3 linked regions of the Drosophila melanogaster genome follow. The protein of the gene in region 2 interacts with the protein of the main gene of each other region in a pairwise test. Each region holds a gene or a part of one and is shown on either strand. Other genes may lie near its edges.

Region 1 (5,438 bases), on a different chromosome or scaffold from region 2:
TGTACCGATGGTGGAATACCCTTTGCATAAATGAGTTAGTTTAGGATCTAGAAATCTAGCTACCTATATATATTTATATCTGATCACTTCAAAGTTTCTAGCATCAGAACTAAGCTGAGGTGCCAATCCTGGTTAAGATCGCTTATCCATTAAGCTACTTGGACAATCAAAAGTAAATGCAAGATTAATTGCAAAACTGCAGATAAATAGTTTCGCCTTGGATTCACAGGTTTCATTATTCTGACAAATTGTGAATAAAACCAGATATACCCGTTTGGGATTCGTTAACGTAGTTAGCCATAGGTGCATAGGTAACTGGAGCACCGGAGCTTTCGAATCGGCTTCGGCTGCATCAGGAGACCTTGGCTAAGTCCGAACTGGAGAGGCGTATGCAAGGCCACGAATTATTGGGGCCTAGGCCTTTGCCAATTTGCATGATCGTGATCATGATCACTCGGCTATAGAATTCCACCCCATTTTCGGTCGGGGAGGGTCTAAAATTAAATTAAATTTAAGCTACTTCTCCATTAGCTACTTTTATGAGCTGGAAATTTTAAGTATATACCATCAAATTGCTCTCGAAGAAGATCTCGTTAACATAGGGAGTAATGATCTGGGTAGTATGGCCGTTTTCGCGGGTGATTCACTTGCGTCCACCTGCTGTTGCAAGCAGCCAAGTAGACAATTGCGTTGGGTCTATGGAGCGCATGGAGTGGGTGGGAAACGTTTGCCAACAGGCTGCGCTATTGCTGATCCATTGTTGGCCTGGCTTAATAACGAAACAGAAGTATAAAACAAAAAAAAAAAACAAAAAAGCCAAATCAAACGCTCTTCATGAGCGGCGGGAACTGCGCTTTACTTGACGTGTAATGTCTGCTATTTGGAGCAGAAACACTAATGGTCATTAAGCACACTGGTAAACCCGCTTTCCACATCCAATCCCCAGCTCCGCGTCCCAGCCTGGCCAACGGCTTCAACTTCTTTAATCGGAACTTCTGGAGTTTCGGCCAGCAGAGTCTGGTGGCAGTGCGTCCGCCCACCAAGCAGGCCCATCCGCCGAAAAAGTTTAGTCCCAAGGACGAAAAGTCCGGCCAACGAAAAGTGGCCAAGACCACTAGGAAACCGATGGATCAGAGAACGAGTACAACTAGTCGAAGCGCAACAACAACTAGCACACAAAAACCCACTACAGATGGACCCTTTCGCATTGCACTGCCCACCTTGAACTTCCCACGCGACAACCAGGATAAGAACAGGGATAGGGAAACGGAGAAGGGCAAGAGGTCGGCTGCCGAGCTGCGCTTGAGGTTCGATTGTCCGCGGGAGAACGAGGTGAGGTTCCAGCTATTCCCCAAGATCTGCAAGGCGGATCGAGACTGTGCCGTGTGGCAACGGGATGAGCTGTGCTGTGATATCTTTGGAGCAAGCAGCTGTGTCTCTGGCGTTCCAAAGCCGCTAGAGGAGACTCCACATGCTCGTAAGTGGGTTTAATCCTTAGCTGCTATAGATATTATTCAATTTATTGCTCTTGCTAGCCATTCTGGGCTTGATACCTCGCAAGTGCCCGAGTAGACCGCTCGCCGAGCTCTGGTGGGACGTCCAGGAGTGCTCCACAGACATGGACTGCTGGCCAAGGGTCTGTTGCCCGGATGGGCGTAGGAGATACTGCCGCACCTCGCAGCCGGAGTTGGAAACAGCTCCAGTGCCAGTGAAGCGATCCTTCGACTATCGTAAGTTAAAAGTTTTCCGTATGATAACCGAAATCAATCGAAGCCTTGCGCTTTTCCAGTTACAGAGTACCTGGAGTGCACAGCCCCGCCGCCGCCCATCTTTGACCTTCATCCCAAGGCGTGCACCTCCACCTTGGATTGCTTTCCGAATGTGTGCTGCCAGGAGGCGGGACTGCGCCACTGCCGGCCGCCCAAGAAGTCCGTGCTCACACTGATGGCCAACTTTCTCAACGTGGACTTCGTGAAGCGACTGGCACAGAATATCGTTATCAAGTAGGGCGAACCGTGAATTTCCCACTATTTTTCAACGTGCGTCGAGCACCTTCGACAGAACCATTTCGAAACCGCCGTGAAATCTCGCCCGGGTTTGTTTGGCCACGCTGATAACCAAAAAGAAGATATGCCCACACCCATACCATTCATAGACATACATATGTATGCACCTTTGTATACTGCGCACCCCATCCATTCGTAATTCTCCATTAAGTATTGTTCACCTAGCCTAGTATTAGACCTAAGCTGCATTCGTAGGCTAGCAAAGTAAATAAAGTATATATGTATGTATACGAACCATAAACTCCATCTGCGGCTTTTCCACTGGAGGTCTGAGGTGGAGGTCTCCCGTAACCCTACGCCTCCTAGGTCACTTCACCCGACTGCCGTGGGGTTCTTGTTCTTGACTTATTTCGTTGGTATATCGTTTATATGCCGGGTTCTTACACTTTCATGTTAATTGCGCGATCATATTACATCTAAAACTATATGGCACTTTTGCGCTATAAACGAGGCATTTCACAAAACAGACTGAGCAATAATAAGTCTACAATCATATATTTCTATGAATCACCTATAAAATAATGGAAGCCGATTTAAATATGAACTTTCATTACCCATTTCGTTGTTATGCCTAAAATCGTTTTAAATTTGATAGGGTAATATATTTTTATTATTTCTAAAGCTAGTATTCTTTAATATTATCCATTCGATAGCGGCTATATTCTAACGCCCGCAACTGTATTTTTATCTACAAGTCATGAGTTCAAGCCGCTGTGCTTTGAAACTCAATCCCTCAGTCGCTTCAGAAGTGAGGCATCTCAGATTACCATATTGCTCAACTGACTTTAGTGTTATGTACATATGTATATGCACATTGTGGAAAACACTTGACCATCCCATTTCCACGACGCATATTGCCGACCACGTAGCTAGAAGCTACCTCCAATAAAAGCGAATCTAACCTAGAATGCCGCAGACCAATTGATTATGCAACCCGAAAAGACGCAGTTAGGCATCAATTACTTTAATTGGACATTTATTGCAGGGTGTGTAGAGAGACAAGATGCAGCGCCTCTACTCCAGATCTTTTTTGGGGGAAAGCTCACTCGGAGCAGCCGCAGGCGGATTTCTTGTCGCCGCCGCACTTGCAGTCAGATCCGCAGTTGCAGGATCCCTTGGTGGCCTGGCTGGCGCATTTGCATCCTGGAAAGAAGTAGAATTTAAAAATTAGTACATGCTGGTACATCCTGTAATCCATAAGCCATATAACATTAGTGTTCCATTTTATAAAACGCAGTTGAAGAACTTCTTTTCTTAGAGAGACGAACTCAGAGATTTCACTTTGCAGATAGTTTCAGCTTGAATTTTTATACTATTGAATCACCATTGAATTTTTATACTAGTATAATACCATTTCTCTGAAAGATCTGTGATATCCTAAAGGATCACACCAGACTGCGAACTTACCGCTTCCGCATGGGCAAGGCATCTTGATTGAGTTGTATTTCCTCGAACTTGTTCACTTGTTTACAAAAAAGGTAGGTATGGGCTATTTAGGCCTTTAGTTGCACTGAGATGATTCACTTGATTTTGCTGCTGACCACAACTGATGCACATTGGCCAGATGCTCTCGGTTTTATACATTTTGGAAACGCGGCTTTACACACGGGTCTTTCGTTCGATTCACCTCTTTTGCACACGCCGGCCGGCTCCAAATTCGAGTGGAGACGTGTGCAGAAGCTTTTGTTCTGCCCGCGAAGAATTGGTTCGGTTCTCCACTTTGGGGACTTGTATGGGATGCAAAGCTCTTGGTGGGGCACATGGGGCATGCGCAGGCACTCTTACTTGCGTACCACATATGTATGGGGGTGGCGGTGGGCGGTGGGGGGCCGGAGTTCTGGGTCTCTTATCGGAACCAGAGGATAGGACGGCCTGCAGCAAAGAGCTAGTCACATCGGGCACCACATCCTGTCCTGCAACGAATTCCAGTGCAACGAAATGCAAGTAAATACTGCTACGCAATAGTTGGGACTCCCACAGATCCTTTGGGGCCATCCCAATTAACGGGTATATGGATGCGGTGGCCATTACTGGCTTTTCCCTCGATTCTCGCGTGTGGGTGGCAAGTGCAGTGCAGATAAAATCGATAAATCCAAGCCAAAATAAAGCGAGGAAAATCCAAGAGCAAAGCGCGTGAGGTGTACGAGGTGGAAAAAAAAACACATACAAAACAACGAGTGTGCGGGAAAACAAAACGTCGGAAAATCGCAAGGCGAGTCGGTTGAAGGGGGCGGGCCAAAGGTGTCACACGGGTCCACCAGGACAATCAAGCGGAAGTGAGCAGTTACGGCTAGTGTGTATTGTGTGTGTGTGTGTGTGTTTGGGGGCGGATGGGATAGAAAACCGTTCCGAATGGGACACTTGTCTTCAAAGCAGGCCTATTTATACCGCACCCGGTCATGGGCAATCATAATCGTGGCGATAATGATGAGGAGAGGCTGGTGCCGATCAGTGCCAGTGGAGCGAAAAATCAATACCCTTCCTTGCCACATGTCTAAAATTAGCGGGATACTCTCACACACATTGTTTGCCGTTATTAAATATACTATTAAAAAGGAGTTCTATCAACTTTGATAAGGAAGTTGTAAGTCAACCAAGGAGTTATGCGGGTTTATATAATAGAATCATATATAATATAATCAACTCATTATCAATTTAAAAGGTTCTTAGAGTTTTTTAGTGTAAAGGAATATACATTTTAAAACCAATTCAACTAATAAAGTGTGTTAACATGCCTACTAGTGTATATCACCATCGGCTTTCGGAAGTTAACTTTCTTTCGCATTTTGTTTTTGTTGCGGGACCCTAAAGTGGTAGTGCCACCCACGCCCACGCCCATCACGTCCCTACCACCCACATCCACCAACTGGCGAACCGGAAAGGTTGTGCGTGCGTGGGCGTTGTGGCCAAGCTGATTTGCTCTTAATTGTTGCAGATAAACGAAAGCATGGCGCCCAAGTAGAACATTCCACCAGCGCCCGACAGCAAGCCAACAAGCTTCAGCTCCTGCTTCTCTCTATTCCGATTTCCACTCCGAGTTTGATATACGCGACCGCGTTCGACCCACTCGAATCCGTATCGGTAACCGGGATGACGGAGCAGAAGAATCAGGTGACGCGCGCTGCACCGGAGCAGAGCAACGATTACCGCGTGGTGGTTTTTGGAGCCGGCGGCGTGGGCAAGAGCTCACTGGTGCTGCGCTTCATAAAGGGCACGTTCCGCGAAAGCTACATCCCAACAATCGAGGATACGTACAGACAGGTGGGTGGGACGCCTGGTGCTAGAGATTACTCACATAATCCGCTGGTCTTCGCACAGGTCATAAGCTGCAACAAGAACATCTGCACGCTGCAAATCACGGACACCACGGGA
Region 2 (7,622 bases):
GAAAGCAATATATGTTGTCCTGGGCGTCGACTCGGCAGGCAGCAGGCTGGCAGCTGGTGTAACTCAAATTGTGAATGGTGTTGATGTCCCCGCACCCAGAAGCTTTACGCCACCACTTTTCCACCGCCTTTCTCGCTTTTCCGGAGTAACTTTTATGGCCTGTGTGCGGCTGTATGTTGGTGTCTGTGTATTTGTGTGTGAGTGTGGCTTGACAATGTGATTTACATTTAATTAAAATCGTATTTACTCGTTAGATAAACAAACACAGGACTCGGGGCACCCTCTGCACCGCTCTGTCGCATCATTAGGCACTCGGAGCGCTCGAATTGCCAAGTGGCATTGGGAAATGGCGCCGGGAAATGGGAAATCGTCGGTGGAGAGTGGGCGGTTCTTGGGAAATTCGGCTGCAAGCCAAGTCTCAGGTGTTGGCCTGCCACTTCGATGTCAGCCTTGTGTTGACGTTGACAGGGCGACATGTCAAAAATAACTCGGTGCCATCGATCGCCGAAGGCGAACCAAAAATAAACAACTCTATCTTATGGCCAAAAATAAGAAATAAGACAGGGGGGAAATGAAAAGTCTCTAGAGGCCTTTAACACAAAGCTCAGATTTTGCCAATAAGGGAACGTTAAGGTAATAGAAACATATTTATAGATCAAAAATTTAAACTCATTTTCTACAGCAAGGTTTCGCAGAAGCTCTATAAATTTTCTTGCGGCTTTCCCACATTTATTGCTAACATAGCTACTCTTTCATTCGTTTATCGCAAATTGCAATTGTAAAAACATATATATATAGTTGAAAGCAATTGTTTTTGCTGGCCATTCGAGACCAAACCAAATTGTCAATCGATGCTGACTTGGACATTAATTGCAGGAAGTGCTCTGTGCAGCTTTAGCCTTTTAAAGAAACCTCCAATCATGTTGCATTCAACAGCACAAGTTCTCCTCCTTCTACCATCAAACCATGACCACTCCAATCCGCCCGCTCCGAACCCCACCCTCATCCCCATTCATTGCCCATTCTTTTCCGCCTCTTGTTTTGACTTGATGACCAAGTTAAACAAACACACGCCACACAAACATGACCCGGCGCTCCGGCAATCGGAATGGGATTCAAACTGGAATTGGGACTCGGACTGGGACTCGAACTGGGAGTGGGAATGGGATTGGGAATGGGTGGCTTTGCTGCAGCCGTGTCCAATTTGCATGGCCATTGTGAGCTGGGCAGGAAGTGGGGGGAATTCGCCGCCTTCTCCGGAATTCCCAGTCATGCCCTCCGTTGAGAAGTGGGTGGTTCAAAAGTGGGCGAGAGGGCGAGTGGTCGAGTGGGCATGGGCAGCACATTTCCGGCATTTATCAATGGTAATTTCTCGTGTCAGCTTTGAAATAATTTCAGTTGACGGAAACGAGACTATTCAAGTGTGACCAAATGCACACAAAAATTATGCCACAATTACCATTTTGTTCTTTGGATGCCATTGTGTACGATTTTCATATCGCTTTTGAAGCGGGCATTTAAATTCTGCTGATAAGTTTGCGGTTTCCCTTGGCCAATATTTAATTAAAATGATCTGCACGCTATTCAGCAAATTAGTTTTTATATATTTAAATGACAGCTTATTGAGGGATAAACTTGCAAAATAGTTTGTGCAACGCATAGCGATGTTTGTGGCTTGATATTTAATTATATTATAATTATTTTTATTTTTTTTTTTTTAATGATTATTAATGAAGCTCAGTTGTACGTGAAAAGAAAAACATTGTAAAGTAAATTGTTGGTCATTATTGATACAGAGCAGATGAGGTTATAATAGCATGATTTGTATATTAAAAATAATGTTAAATAACCCTTCTTGAACATTAATATTCATGAGTATTTGTAGTGGCCAACCCGAACTCAACTTCTTGCTGCCTAATCGATTTTCCCCCGATTTTTCTCCACTTTGACTCCGATTTTCGGGCAGGCGGACGTAAAAGGGGGCGTGATAAGGGGCAGCTTGTAAAACAATGACAAGGACAAATTCGTGCGATAGGCAAACAGCAAACAGCATGGAAGGCACTGTTGGCACGGGATTTTTTTTTTTTTTTTTTGGGAAAGGGGGGGCTCCAAGTGTCAATACAAATATAAATCAATGTTCGGGGAATCAGTTGGAAGAGGCATGGTTAGCGGGACGAGCAGGAAAAGCGGAAAAGCTGGAAAAAGGTAACATGCCTAAGCAGTTTGTGCTTTTGTTGTTTTTTTTTTTTTTTTGTTTTGCCCTCCTTTTGCTGGCAATCAATTTTAACAAGCACCCAGTTTTCCGAGATCTGCTCGGCTTACTGGGCATCTTGCTCCTAATTGGTTGCCAGTTATAGAATACGTAAAACGTGCGACACAAATTCAAGTTCAATGGAATTCTACGGGAATTCTACCTTTCAGAGTGGAAATGAACTAAGGGAGAAGAAAATAGGAAACACAGAGATTTTCATTAGTGGAAAACCCACAGTGGAACTAAGAACCTTTCTAGAATTTCATTTAATTTGCAGTTCCGCAGATAGTTTTGGTTGCTCTTGCTCTCCCTTTCGCTCACTATTGCCGGCTCTTTCTGGGCCGTGTGAGTTGTGTAATTCGTGCAAGCGAGAGGGCGATAGAGTTTGTGATAGGGAGAGGGGGACAGAGAATAGGCCGCGCAAAAAAGTTGGCAGACTTATTTTTTCCCCCATTTTTGCACTCTAAAGTTCCTTATACTCCCACAGTTTTGTGCTTTTGTTTTTGTTTCGCTAGAATTTGTTCAATTTAATGTAACATGAAGGAGAAGGCACAAAAACCAGAAACAGGGCGGCGAACTTGGGGGTGGGCGTGAGAAACAGGCGGAAACACAACATGGAAAACTGAAAAGTTTGCGGTGACGCCGGAAAATTCCATCAAAACTGTGGGAAACAGCCTTAAAATGACTTTAAGGGTTTCCCAATTATTTGGAAGGCCCTGAAAAAATAAGGAAAATTGTTCAGATCACTAAAAGCTTGATAAACTAATATAAAATTTTTATTTGATTATGTTTTTATATGTATTTATGATTTATATATATCCTAAAGAACGTAGAAATTATTCAAAATACATGTATTATTTAATTTTGAACGATTTAATACTATGTAACACGCAAACGCAAGCAAATTAAATGAATTTTAAGCGATAAGGAATAACACCTTGATCAGTGTTGAAATTTAACAGAATATCAACAACGTACAACGGGCGGTCAGCGGTTAATTCTTCGCCATCGTCTTCCAGCTCTCCTGATCCTCCTAATCCTCCAGATCCCTCAGTTCCTCCAGATCCTCCAGATGCGTCAGGTACTCCAGATGCTGCGGCTGTTTCTGTTTCTCCAGATCCAGCAGACCTCTCCCCTGTTTCAGTATTTCCTGTTTGTTCAGTTCCTCCTGTTTTGTCCAATCCTTTGGTGTCGTCTGTGTCTCCTGATCCCTCGGCTCGTACAGTTTCTTCAGAACCCCCTGTTACTTCTTTCTTTGTACCGAAATCAGACATTATAAACTTATTCAAAACCTGCTTTTTCTGCGCCTGCATGGCACGCCACTCGTCGAGTGTATATTGTTCGGTCTCCTCCGATGAATCGTACTCGTAGACGAAACTCGATACCTTTGGTAACTTCATCCCTTCGAAGGTGCGCAAATTGGTCCTCTGACGCAAGTCGATCTCCTGCTGGATGGATCCCCAGTTGTGGGCCCCGGCTCCATTGCGTTTTTCCACCGCCTTTACGCCAGTGCGTTTCGATCCGGAACGGCGATCAAAGAGTCGGTCACCAGGACGATTGCGTCTGGTTTTGCAAAGTTTGTTTTTCGGTACTGTAACGAATACTGACTCTACTTCCTTCTCAAGAGGATCTGCCACCTTGATGTCCTTCACCCGTTCCTTTTTGGGTGCAGTCAATGGAGTGGTCAAAGTAATCTTGTTCTCCACCTTTGGCTGAAATAGACGTGCTGCCTTCTGTGGTTTCTGCGACATCTTGGGAACGGCCACCATTGATGACTTCTTCTGTGACTTCTTCATCTTGGGATCCTTGGTGAGGGCTACGAGTGGTACGTTCATACTGTCGTCGAAGGTGCAACGATTGTTAAAGCTCGAATTTAAGTAAAAATCAGATATATAATTTATTATATAATCGGAGCTCTGAAGGCGAGCGAGTTTGGAGCTGAACTGAATGAGAAACGGAATGAGCCTGGCAGCTGATCGACTGGGCAACTAAGTTTTCCCAAAAACGGTTTAAGATTGACTCAGCAAATATAAGCCAGAAGTTACAGTTGCTCAGTTTTTGTTTGATAAGTTTGATAAGATCATAATATATATTCATATAACTCAATTAATATATGCTTTGCATATGTTTAATGGAGGCTTTTGAAATGCATTATGTTATGTACTTCTTGTGCATTGGTACATAAATACTGAGTTGATATATATGGACATCATAATTTTTTCAAATTCCAATAAAAGGCTACTCAAGGAATTTCGTTATAAAATATTTGTATTTTTCATAACATTCAATTACGTGTCTCTAGTGTTCGCAACCCCTCATTTATTTCGAAAAGTTATATATATGATTGCCATGGAGTTGCTAGGATATTCATTTAAGCGTTCAGTTACCAGCGCAATTTTCCGGCATTATTATTTATAACTTTATACGCTCGCCGAGTGCTTCGTTCTACCCACTCCGTTCATTTCATTTGGCTTCCCGTTCCTGTGGCTCCCTTGTGTCTCTGTGGAGTGGCCAAAAGTCCAGTGGCCAAGAGTCCAGTGGTCGAGGGGTCGGTCCATGGTCTTGGCCATCAAGTTCTGTGTTTTGTCATAAGTCATGTGTCTGCTCGTCCTCGTTGTGTGTTGCTTCTGTTTTTCCAGCACAAAGTTGTGTACTTATGAAAATTAGTTTCTGCTCTGCTCTGCTACTATTTTTCATAATTAAAGTGCAAATAAAAAACTAAGCTGGCGAACAAACAATTGCAATTAACTCTTGTTGTTGCTGTGGCCCCCCTGTTGATGTAGTTATTCGCATTTATTTGCGAGATTCGTGTTTTTCTACCGCCCCATTTTTGCTCTCGTTTTTTTTTTTTATGTATATATTCGCCTCTGCCGCTGCTGTGCAAAAACATAATTCACTTTTTATTATCTCATATTTTATAGAAAGTTCCAGGAAAATATGGGTGGGTGTATATCAGCCATATATATATATATATATATATATGTGCATGCACATATACACGCATATACACTGGGGTGTATACATAATGCAGGGGCTGTAAGCCTCTCTGTGTGTCGTTTAATTCATTTAGTTTATGCTTTTAGCGCTTTATTTGCTTAACTGCAGTTTGCATGTGTGCTTAAGTGTGCGTGTGTGCGTATGTGTGCGTGAGCATAATTGCAGCACACACGCACATATACAGATGCACTGGATTTTGCAATTACTCCGCTTGACAAACAGCGGCAGCAACAAGAACAACAACAACAGCAAGGAGTCGCAGCAGAACAGTGAAATTAATCAAAATATGAACAATTCGAGCCGCTACCCTGAAAAACCGCTCGGAAAATACCCACTCCACTCGTGGCAGTGGAAAACCGCAGATGCTGCCATTGACAACGCATCGCTGCATTTCACATTTCACATTTTGCATTTCGCATTCCGGGGCATCCTTTCGCCTGTTTGCCAAATATCAGCAAATTTTGCGTTTAAGCCAAGTGCAAACATTTTAGCAAACGGCGAGCAAACAACAAAAGACGGCAGGCACAGCCGCCTTTCCATTCCATTCAATCGATTGCCCCTAATGAAAGCCACTCAACAGTCGCTCGAACAACAAAATCAGCAGCCAAAATCAACAGCACACGACATTTTCCAAGTATTTGGGCATTTAGTGTGCATTTTGTTTTAATTAAAAATTAAGCCGCAATGTGGAATTCGAGCGGCAGTTGCTTGTTGTTCGGTTTCGAAACTCCAAACATTTAGTTTGAATCAAAATAATAGAAGCCTCGCTTTGGCTTTTCATATGCCAATTTACAATCATATATTAATTTTAACAAATATTTTCAATAAAGTTAAATTGTTTTGGTTTCAATTCAAAATTAGTCCACAATGAGAAATTCGAGCGGAAGAAACTTGCTTTGTTTTCACTTATCCTTACACTTATTTTGCAGACGGTTTTGCGCAAACTTTGAACGGGATGCAAAACATTAAATATAAATAAAAACGCCATAACTATTTTAAAATTTTGTGTCCATTTAGTTCTAATGGAAATGAAAACGGGGGAGAATAACAGAAATTTGTGCAAACTTTGTTGTTTATTTTGCCTAATTAACTATTTTGTACAATTTTTTTATTTGTTTTTTTTTTCTTTCCAATTCTAGAACACATCAATATATATATATACTTTGAGCACGTACTCTATGTTTTAAACATTACAACTTGTCTTTCTGTGTATTACTTTCATTCCAGCTATTTTCCGCATATAAAGAGAACTTTTTGTTGAGAGAAAAAAAATTAAAAGTGATGATGTACCAAGTTTGTTCTTTTTCTGGAAGCGATAAAAATTAAAACCCAGGCAAGTAACAATCGTAATTGTTACAGCTGCTCGGGCAACTTTTTTGTGGGCTTCTATTTTCCTATTTTATTTTAATTTTTATTGAGCGTCTGGCTTCGTACTCCTAAACGTATACGCAATTTCTTTTATGAGCCATTCCGAATGTGCGTTTGTGTGTGTGTGTGTGTGTATTTGTGTGTGTGTGAGAGCTTTGGTGTACATTTTGTTCTTTTCTTTTTTTTTTGTCTTGGGATGAGTGGCTTTCATTTGTGCCCCTCTAGGTCCAAAGCCAAATTTCGCCATTTTCTTCGACTTCGCTTTTCGATTTGCCATTTCGAATTCACTTCATTGAATTGTTAATTTTATCGCTCACCGGAGAACATACACATACATTCGACATTCGACGGGGGGCCATTGCATAACTTTGATTTTCCTGCTCGTTCTTTATTGTCATTGCCCCTGCCAGTGGTTTGTATTTGTGGTTATTACACAGTCGGTTCTGGCCCTTTTCCTCCACATCCATACCCGTATCATTTGCTCATATTAAATTTTATTGCTCGCGGTATTCGCTCATAAACATTTTGTCTTCCATCCACCCTCGCATCCATGAGTTTAATCAAACGGCGGCGAGGTGAGCGCGTAATGTTTGCGGCAGGACGATGAGGAGCCCACCTCCACACGGCTTATATTGGCTGGAATGGCACGGTATGGTATGGTATGGTATGGCATAATATGGTATGGGATGGCATGGTCTGGTTTTTGGCTTATTGCTCGGGGTCCTGGCACTGAACTGGCCAGCAAATTGCGGCGATATTACACACAAGTGCGCTGGGATTGGCAGGGCACAAAGTGGGCTGCCGGCCAGTCGTCCTGGCCACTGGACTGTCCTCGTCTAGGCGGCGAAGAAGCTGGACCGGAATAAGAGTCAACTGACAGCAGCTCGCCGCTAAGCAGCAGCGGATAATACTGCCGAAAATACCCTACAGCTTACCAAAATATTTTCTAAGAATATTTTCATTTAAGAATTATATTCTTTAATCAATACATTTAAAAATATCTATT
Region 3 (7,097 bases), on a different chromosome or scaffold from region 2:
GTGCCACAGCGTTTTCACCACGTGCGCGTTGGACACGGGAATCCGCTGCACTTCCTCGTAGCTCTTAGTGCTGTAGAAATACAGGTTCGCTTCGGCCTGGCCCTTCGGAAGCGATTCTCCGGTGACTAGCAGACGGTCATCTGGACTAAAGCAGCAATCTGTTGTGTCGTAGCGGGAGAACAGGTTTGTCCAGGTATGCAGCGGCTGTTTGAACTGCCGCAGATCCCAAAGCTTCATGGTCTCGTCGTTGCTGCGAGTGGCCAACTGCTGACCCATGTACGAGAACACAATGGAGGTGATCTCCGAACCCTTCTGATGCGCATCCCTGACGCAGTGCGTGGTGTTCACAAACATCTTGCGCGTGTCCCACGTCTGAATGGAACCATCCACGCAGCCCGCTGCTATGAGTGTGGCGTCCCTGTTAAAGTTGCATGATGCTGCGTTGGTGCGGAGGCCTCCCTGCGCCCTTGTCTTGATCACCTGCAACTGTTCCTTGGACTTCAATCCCTGCCAGATGCGCAGAGTACCGTCGAGAGCTGCGGTCAGGAACTGCTCCCTGTTAAATGGATGCCAGCAGCCGGAGGTCAACTGTGCCACGTGGCCCTTGGTGCGCGACATGTCCGAGATATACTGGTCGCCCTTGCAGCACTCCAGTTTCTCGAATCCATCGCGGTCGAGGACCTTGGCCTGGGCGTTTCCGGAGATGACCAGGATCATGTCGCCGGTCACGGAGTACTGGAGAGAACGTATGGGATGGTTCTCGCACGGCTGCAGTTGCCGGAAGCTACGCATGCTCGAGTCCATGCCGGCGAAATCCCAGAAGCACATATCGTAGTCTATGGAACCAGAGACCAAGCGGGCACCCGAGGGATCGCCAGCCAGGGCAAGGACAGCGCGGGAACCGTGCTGCATCTGCACCTCGTGTGTGTAGGGTATGCGCTTAGCAAGGCTTTGTTCGTCATCTGAATCTTCATCGGACGAATAATCATCGTCATCGGAGTCTTCGTCTTTGGACGATTCCTTCGTGGCTTTCTCCTTGTCTGTGGTCACAGCTGGTGGTAGGGGACCTATTACGTCCTCCTCTTCCTCGTCTTTCTGGTCATCCTCCTTCGGCTTGGACTCCTCCCTTTTTTTGTCCATTCCCGGGCGGGTAACTCTCGCCTTTTCTATCTGCTCGTTGATGTCGAACACCTTGGCCGCCTTGCGACCAAAGCCACTGATGCCCATCACTTCCTTGAGGTGCTGGCTCTCCAGATCTTCGGCCACGTCCTCGATCTGCCGAATCATCTGCTCCTTGTCCATTTTCTTGAATCCTCCGCCATTTCCGCTGGCTTCAGTGGACTCCTTTGCATCTTCCGCCTCGGTTTCGTTGGATCTTGGCTCCGCAGGAGGTACGTTTACATTCAGTTTGATTTTCCCGAAGGAAATTTTACCGCGTTGCATAGTTTTAAGGCCCCACGCTAAGTGGATTTTCAAATTTTTAATTAAAACTATATTTCTCTGAAAATATGCGGTAAATATTTTGTAAACAAGTGAATTAAGTGACCGTTTATATTCGGACTGTCAATTTGGTATTTTAAAAGATCGAGCGAATTGTTATGGTCTTTAAATAAGCTCTGGCTTGCCCATTAAAATTTTTCAATTTAATAATGACTCATATATTGTTCATGTATTGCAAACAAGATATATATAAACAATAAAGGAAACTGCATTGGAATATTAAGAGTTTATATCGATTGCAATTTAAGAATAGTGCACTCAAAAATACTAAACACACATACGGTCACTCTAATATAGCTGACTGGCGTCTAACCTAAAATTAGGCGCGCAGTGTTGTTTTGTGTCTGCCGGAATTATTGTAAATTGGTGACAATTTCGCAAGGCGGCGTAATACATAGTTGATCTATTATCTTGTTACTGGAGAGGAAGAAGTGCAGGATGACAGACTCTCTGGAGTACAACGACATAAACGCCGAAGTGCGCGGAGTCTTGGTGAGTCGCAAAAAAGCCGGCGTATTTTGTCACATTTCGCATGACCGAGGTTTTCCATTTCCCTGCGCGCAAAAAAGTGTTCCGGACGCCTAAAGATGACCGAGCAGAACATCATCTTCAAGAACACCAAGACCGGCAAGGTGGAGCAGATCTCGGCAGAGGACATAGACCTGATCAATTCGCAGAAGTTCGTGGGCACCTGGGGACTGAGGGTGTTCACCAAAGGCGGCGTGCTCCACCGCTTCACCGGATTCCGCGACAGCGAGCACGAGAAGCTGGGCAAGTTTATCAAGGCTGCCTACTCGCAGGAGATGGTCGAGAAGGAGATGTGCGTCAAGGGCTGGAACTGGGGCACCGCCCGCTTCATGGGCTCCGTCCTGAGCTTCGACAAGGAGTCGAAGACCATCTTCGAGGTGCCGCTGTCGCACGTTTCGCAGTGCGTGACCGGCAAGAACGAGGTCACCCTGGAGTTCCACCAAAACGACGATGCGCCCGTGGGTCTACTGGAGATGCGGTTCCACATACCCGCCGTGGAGTCGGCCGAGGAGGATCCGGTAGACAAGTTCCACCAGAACGTAATGAGCAAGGCCTCGGTCATCTCGGCTTCGGGCGAGTCCATCGCCATTTTCAGAGAGATCCAGATCCTCACGCCTCGCGGTCGCTATGACATCAAGATCTTCTCGACCTTCTTCCAGCTGCACGGCAAGACGTTCGACTACAAGATTCCCATGGACTCGGTGCTGCGGCTCTTCATGCTGCCCCACAAAGACAGTCGACAGATGTTCTTTGTGCTCTCCTTGGATCCGCCCATCAAGCAGGGACAAACGCGTTACCACTACCTGGTCCTGCTGTTTGCTCCCGATGAGGAGACCACCATTGAGCTGCCATTCTCGGAAGCCGAGTTGCGAGACAAGTACGAGGGCAAGCTGGAGAAAGAGATCTCCGGGCCGGTGTACGAGGTGATGGGCAAAGTGATGAAGGTGCTGATCGGTCGAAAAATTACCGGACCCGGTAACTTTATCGGACACTCTGGCACGGCTGCAGTGGGCTGCTCGTTCAAGGCTGCAGCTGGATATCTGTATCCCCTGGAGCGAGGATTCATCTATATCCACAAGCCACCGCTGCATATCCGCTTTGAGGAGATTAGTTCTGTGAACTTTGCCCGCAGCGGCGGATCCACGCGATCTTTCGACTTCGAAGTGACGCTCAAGAACGGAACTGTTCACATCTTCTCCTCCATCGAGAAGGAGGAGTATGCCAAGCTCTTCGACTACATCACACAGAAGAAGTTGCATGTCAGCAACATGGGCAAGGACAAGAGCGGCTACAAGGACGTGGACTTTGGTGATTCGGACAACGAGAACGAACCAGATGCCTATCTGGCTCGCCTCAAGGCTGAGGCGAGGGAAAAGGAGGAGGACGACGACGATGGCGACTCGGATGAAGAGTCCACGGATGAGGACTTCAAGCCCAACGAGAACGAGTCCGATGTGGCCGAGGAGTATGACAGCAACGTGGAGAGTGATTCGGACGATGACAGCGATGCTAGTGGCGGCGGAGGCGACAGCGACGGCGCCAAGAAAAAGAAGGAGAAGAAGTCCGAGAAGAAAGAGAAAAAGGAGAAAAAACACAAGGAGAAGGAGAGAACAGTGAGTAATGTTTGCTTATTATTATAGCTTATGGTAACATGTTTTTATATGTTTTTATAGAAGAAACCCTCCAAGAAGAAGAAGGACTCTGGCAAACCCAAGCGCGCCACCACCGCTTTCATGCTCTGGCTGAACGACACGCGCGAGAGCATCAAGAGGGAAAATCCGGGCATAAAGGTTACCGAGATCGCCAAGAAGGGCGGCGAGATGTGGAAGGAGCTGAAGGACAAGTCCAAGTGGGAGGATGCGGCGGCCAAGGACAAGCAGCGCTACCACGACGAGATGCGCAACTACAAGCCTGAAGCGGGCGGTGACAGCGACAACGAGAAGGGTGGAAAGTCCTCCAAGAAGCGCAAGACGGAGCCTTCTCCATCCAAGAAGGCGAATACCTCGGGCAGCGGCTTCAAGAGCAAGGAGTACATTTCGGACGACGACTCCACCAGCTCCGACGACGAGAAGGACAACGAGCCTGCCAAGAAGAAGAGCAAGCCCCCATCCGACGGCGATGCCAAGAAGAAAAAGGCCAAGAGCGAGAGCGAACCGGAGGAGAGCGAGGAGGACAGCAATGCCAGCGATGAGGATGAGGAAGATGAGGCCAGTGATTAGGGCCATAAACACAACAAATCAATTCCATAAACACACACCACGCTCCTCACACACCCATGTCCCAAATCTAGTTTACATTCGCCTAGTTTAGTTAAGTGCTGCCTGTTGGATACAGACCCATACGTTTTTGTTTAATTAAAACTCAACAACAATTCGAAAGTTCAAGTAATTAAACAGAATTGATAATTGCCCGTAATGATTGATATCTATCGATTATGGTTTCGCTTGACTGGCTTTTGCCACTTTCGTCAACATTATAATGCCACAGTTTGCCAGTTTTTAATGGCTCTTTGGTGAACTTAGTGATGGCCACGTTGACAGAGTTATTCCTCTTGTTTGGGCTGTGGCACATTTTGCAGGCAAGTTCGACCGTAAGCTAGGCCGGCTGGGATTATGAACCGAACACTAGCTCACTTCAGGTCCAAGGAGTTGCCAAGTTCACAAACATCGAGTGCCTGAGTGCGGACGAAAACTTCACCACCGTTTCCCTGTGCCGATTGTACGCCGTAAAGAGGGATGTCGTCGAAATGAGTCTGCGGGCCAACATCCTGCGATGGCCAAAAGGTCCGGTATCGGTGAGTTAGTTTGCAAAGCTAGGGCGTTCCTGAATGCCATAGTTGAATAGCTATCTATAGTAGAAAATGCGAGTCCAAAACACTAGTAATTAAACAACTTGAAACCTATCCATGCCTAAAACCAATTTATGTTTTGAATTAATGAAATAACTATAAACCTGTTTGAGGTTTCACAAATGATTGTGCTAAAAGACGGCGACGGCTGGCCGGTTGACGCTGCTGACGCACTTCCTGGCCGCTGGTCTCCATCGCCGTCTTGGCCAGCAGATCCTCCACATCGTCATGGAGGTCCTCCAGCTTGGTGGCGGAGGCAATAGCAATGGCATTCTTGAACTTGCGCTGAGGTCGGCGATTAATTATCCTGGGTGATTCCGACGACACGTCGCTCTGGAACTGCTCCGCCTGCAGGTGCGTGGTGGCCTTCGAAACGCCCACCAGAAGCTCCTCAGAGTCGTCACGGAGGTGCTCTAAGCTGCCAACGGGACTGGAACCACTGGACAGATTTTGGACAGAGACGTTGGCCGAGTCAGTATCCTCGGAAGTTCTGCCTCCAATTCCTTCTCCAGTGGAGTCCTGCAACAGATCGGAAGTCCTAAGGGGAGCAGTGCTCGATCTCGACCAGAAGCTGGACACGAAAGGCAGTACAGAGATTTGGGTCTGTGCCACCAGCTGTGTCATCGAAGCGAGGGCGTCGATCAGGAGCTTCTCCTTGCCCCGGTGCAGGAAGTGATCGATCTCCTCCTGCCGCTTTGCCAGCACCGGACGCAGGATGGCGTCGAATATCCAGACATTGGCGGCCGGAGCGGACAGCACGATCCACACGACCAGGAGCAACTTGGTGGGCATGTAGAGCGGCAGCCAGGAGAGGAAGACGTCCGCCAGCACCTCGAAGGTGACCAGGAAGGCGTAAACTATCCAGTATTTGGCCCAGGCCAGGAACTCCTCGTCTCCGCTGTTCAGAGTCTTATAGGTTTGCCAGGCCGGTCCCATGGTGCCGTAAACGAAGAACAGGAACTGCGAAACAAGGCCAAAGAAACACATATCTAAAATATACGGTGGATACTAGGACTGCCAGAATAAGTGTTCTTCTTTTGGAAAATTCCGAATTTAATGCATGGGCTATAATCGAAATTGGCAGTTTAAGATCGATGTGCCTGTGTATCTAACTGTTTGTTTAAAAGTGTGGCGATATTCTACAGCCAGTTGTGTGTAAAGTGTAAAGCACAGCCTGCTGGCGTATAGCACCAACACCTTAGTGTAATACCAATATGTTTCTCCTTCAGATGCGCATGCAGCTGCTGAAGAAGGCCAGTGGCTATAAGCCCTTTCTCTACAATATCTGCCAGTCGGATGTGTGCGAGTATCTGGAGAAGCGGAATCATCCCTTCATTAACATCATCCTGAGCAGTTTCGGGAACAGAACCAATGTGAACAAGTGTCCGATTCCAGTGAGTTTGCCTAAGAAATGATTGATTATGATGTTTACTTCAGTTCTTCTATCGATTACAGCCGGAAATAGTGTTGGAGCACTTTCGGTTTCCCGTCAAGGTTCTGGACATGATGCCCCTGCCCTTCGGGGACTACGGACTCTTCACCACCTTCACTTTCCACCGATCGGAGTTGGCCCAGGTTAAGGTGTACTTCACATTAACAGAGTATCGCTAAAGGCACACAAATCACGAGTCGCATCGAGTATTTGTTATAAACATCAGACGCGGTGCAATAAACCAATTAATAAATTTGCCATAAATTTGTTAACTGCCCGTAAAAGAGCTCTCCGATTTGATTATCCCTTTGTAATTGCAATAAACGGATTTTAATTAAAATTATTAATGCGTGCATTTCATTTGAGTGTAATATGTAAATGGTTCTGACACGTGGGAACGCGAACCGATTTCACTGAAAAACATGGCTCATTCGGATAATTTTCGGCCAATCCAAGGTTAGGAGCATTGGCTTCTGATTCAGATCGGTTTTCGGTCGAAATTTCTTTCGCACAATGAGCCAAAAAGTCTTGACCCTGTCCAAAGCCGAACGCTCGTTCATGACATTTCAGTTAGGCAGGCATTCAAAAAGCCATCAAGAAAAGGTTCCCATACCATTCCCATTCACAGAAATCTCAGCTATTGAAACCGAAACCGAAACCGAAACCCAAATCAATTGTAATTGCGTCTAATAAATGAAATGTTGACGGAAATAACGCAGAGGCATTACGTGTGCGATTGTAAAAGGCAAATTCACAATTACCAGCATGCATGCATAATTAATTTGTGGG

The links. Proteins that work in one complex are often made in the same cells at the same time.
Region 1: the proteins of PPYR1 (region 2) and MtnA interact in a two-hybrid assay, tested with the Drosophila melanogaster proteins (one large-scale study listed by BioGRID).
Region 3: the proteins of PPYR1 (region 2) and Ssrp interact in a two-hybrid assay, tested with the Drosophila melanogaster proteins (one large-scale study listed by BioGRID).

What each region holds. Positions count from the first base shown.
Region 1 is NT_033777.3:9,780,751-9,786,188, forward strand, and holds MtnA (metallothionein A), read right to left. Parts: upstream 3,621-5,438; 5' UTR 3,496-3,620; coding exon 3,474-3,495; intron 3,210-3,473; coding exon 3,109-3,209; 3' UTR 2,657-3,108; downstream 1-2,656. Other genes in the region: CG12947 (uncharacterized protein), read left to right, coding at 947-1,477, 1,536-1,730, 1,790-2,007; CG8500 (uncharacterized protein), read left to right, coding at 5,157-5,327, 5,385-5,438. UniProt on the Drosophila melanogaster protein: This protein binds cations of several transition elements. It is thought to be involved in detoxification processes.
Region 2 is NC_004354.4:15,240,752-15,248,373, forward strand, and holds PPYR1 (protein phosphatase Y regulator 1), read right to left. Parts: upstream 4,163-7,622; 5' UTR 4,087-4,162; coding exon 3,157-4,086; 3' UTR 3,108-3,156; downstream 1-3,107.
Region 3 is NT_033778.4:23,803,705-23,810,801, reverse strand, and holds Ssrp (structure specific recognition protein), read left to right. Parts: upstream 1-1,797; 5' UTR 1,798-1,938; coding exon 1,939-1,992; intron 1,993-2,069; coding exon 2,070-3,641; intron 3,642-3,701; coding exon 3,702-4,247; 3' UTR 4,248-4,441; downstream 4,442-7,097. Other genes in the region: CG5543 (uncharacterized protein), read right to left, coding at 1-1,443; CG5539 (uncharacterized protein), read right to left, coding at 4,973-5,863; CG13561 (uncharacterized protein), read left to right, coding at 4,553-4,606, 4,667-4,822, 6,106-6,270, 6,332-6,487. UniProt on the Drosophila melanogaster protein: Component of the FACT complex, a general chromatin factor that acts to reorganize nucleosomes. The FACT complex is involved in multiple processes that require DNA as a template such as mRNA elongation, DNA replication and DNA repair.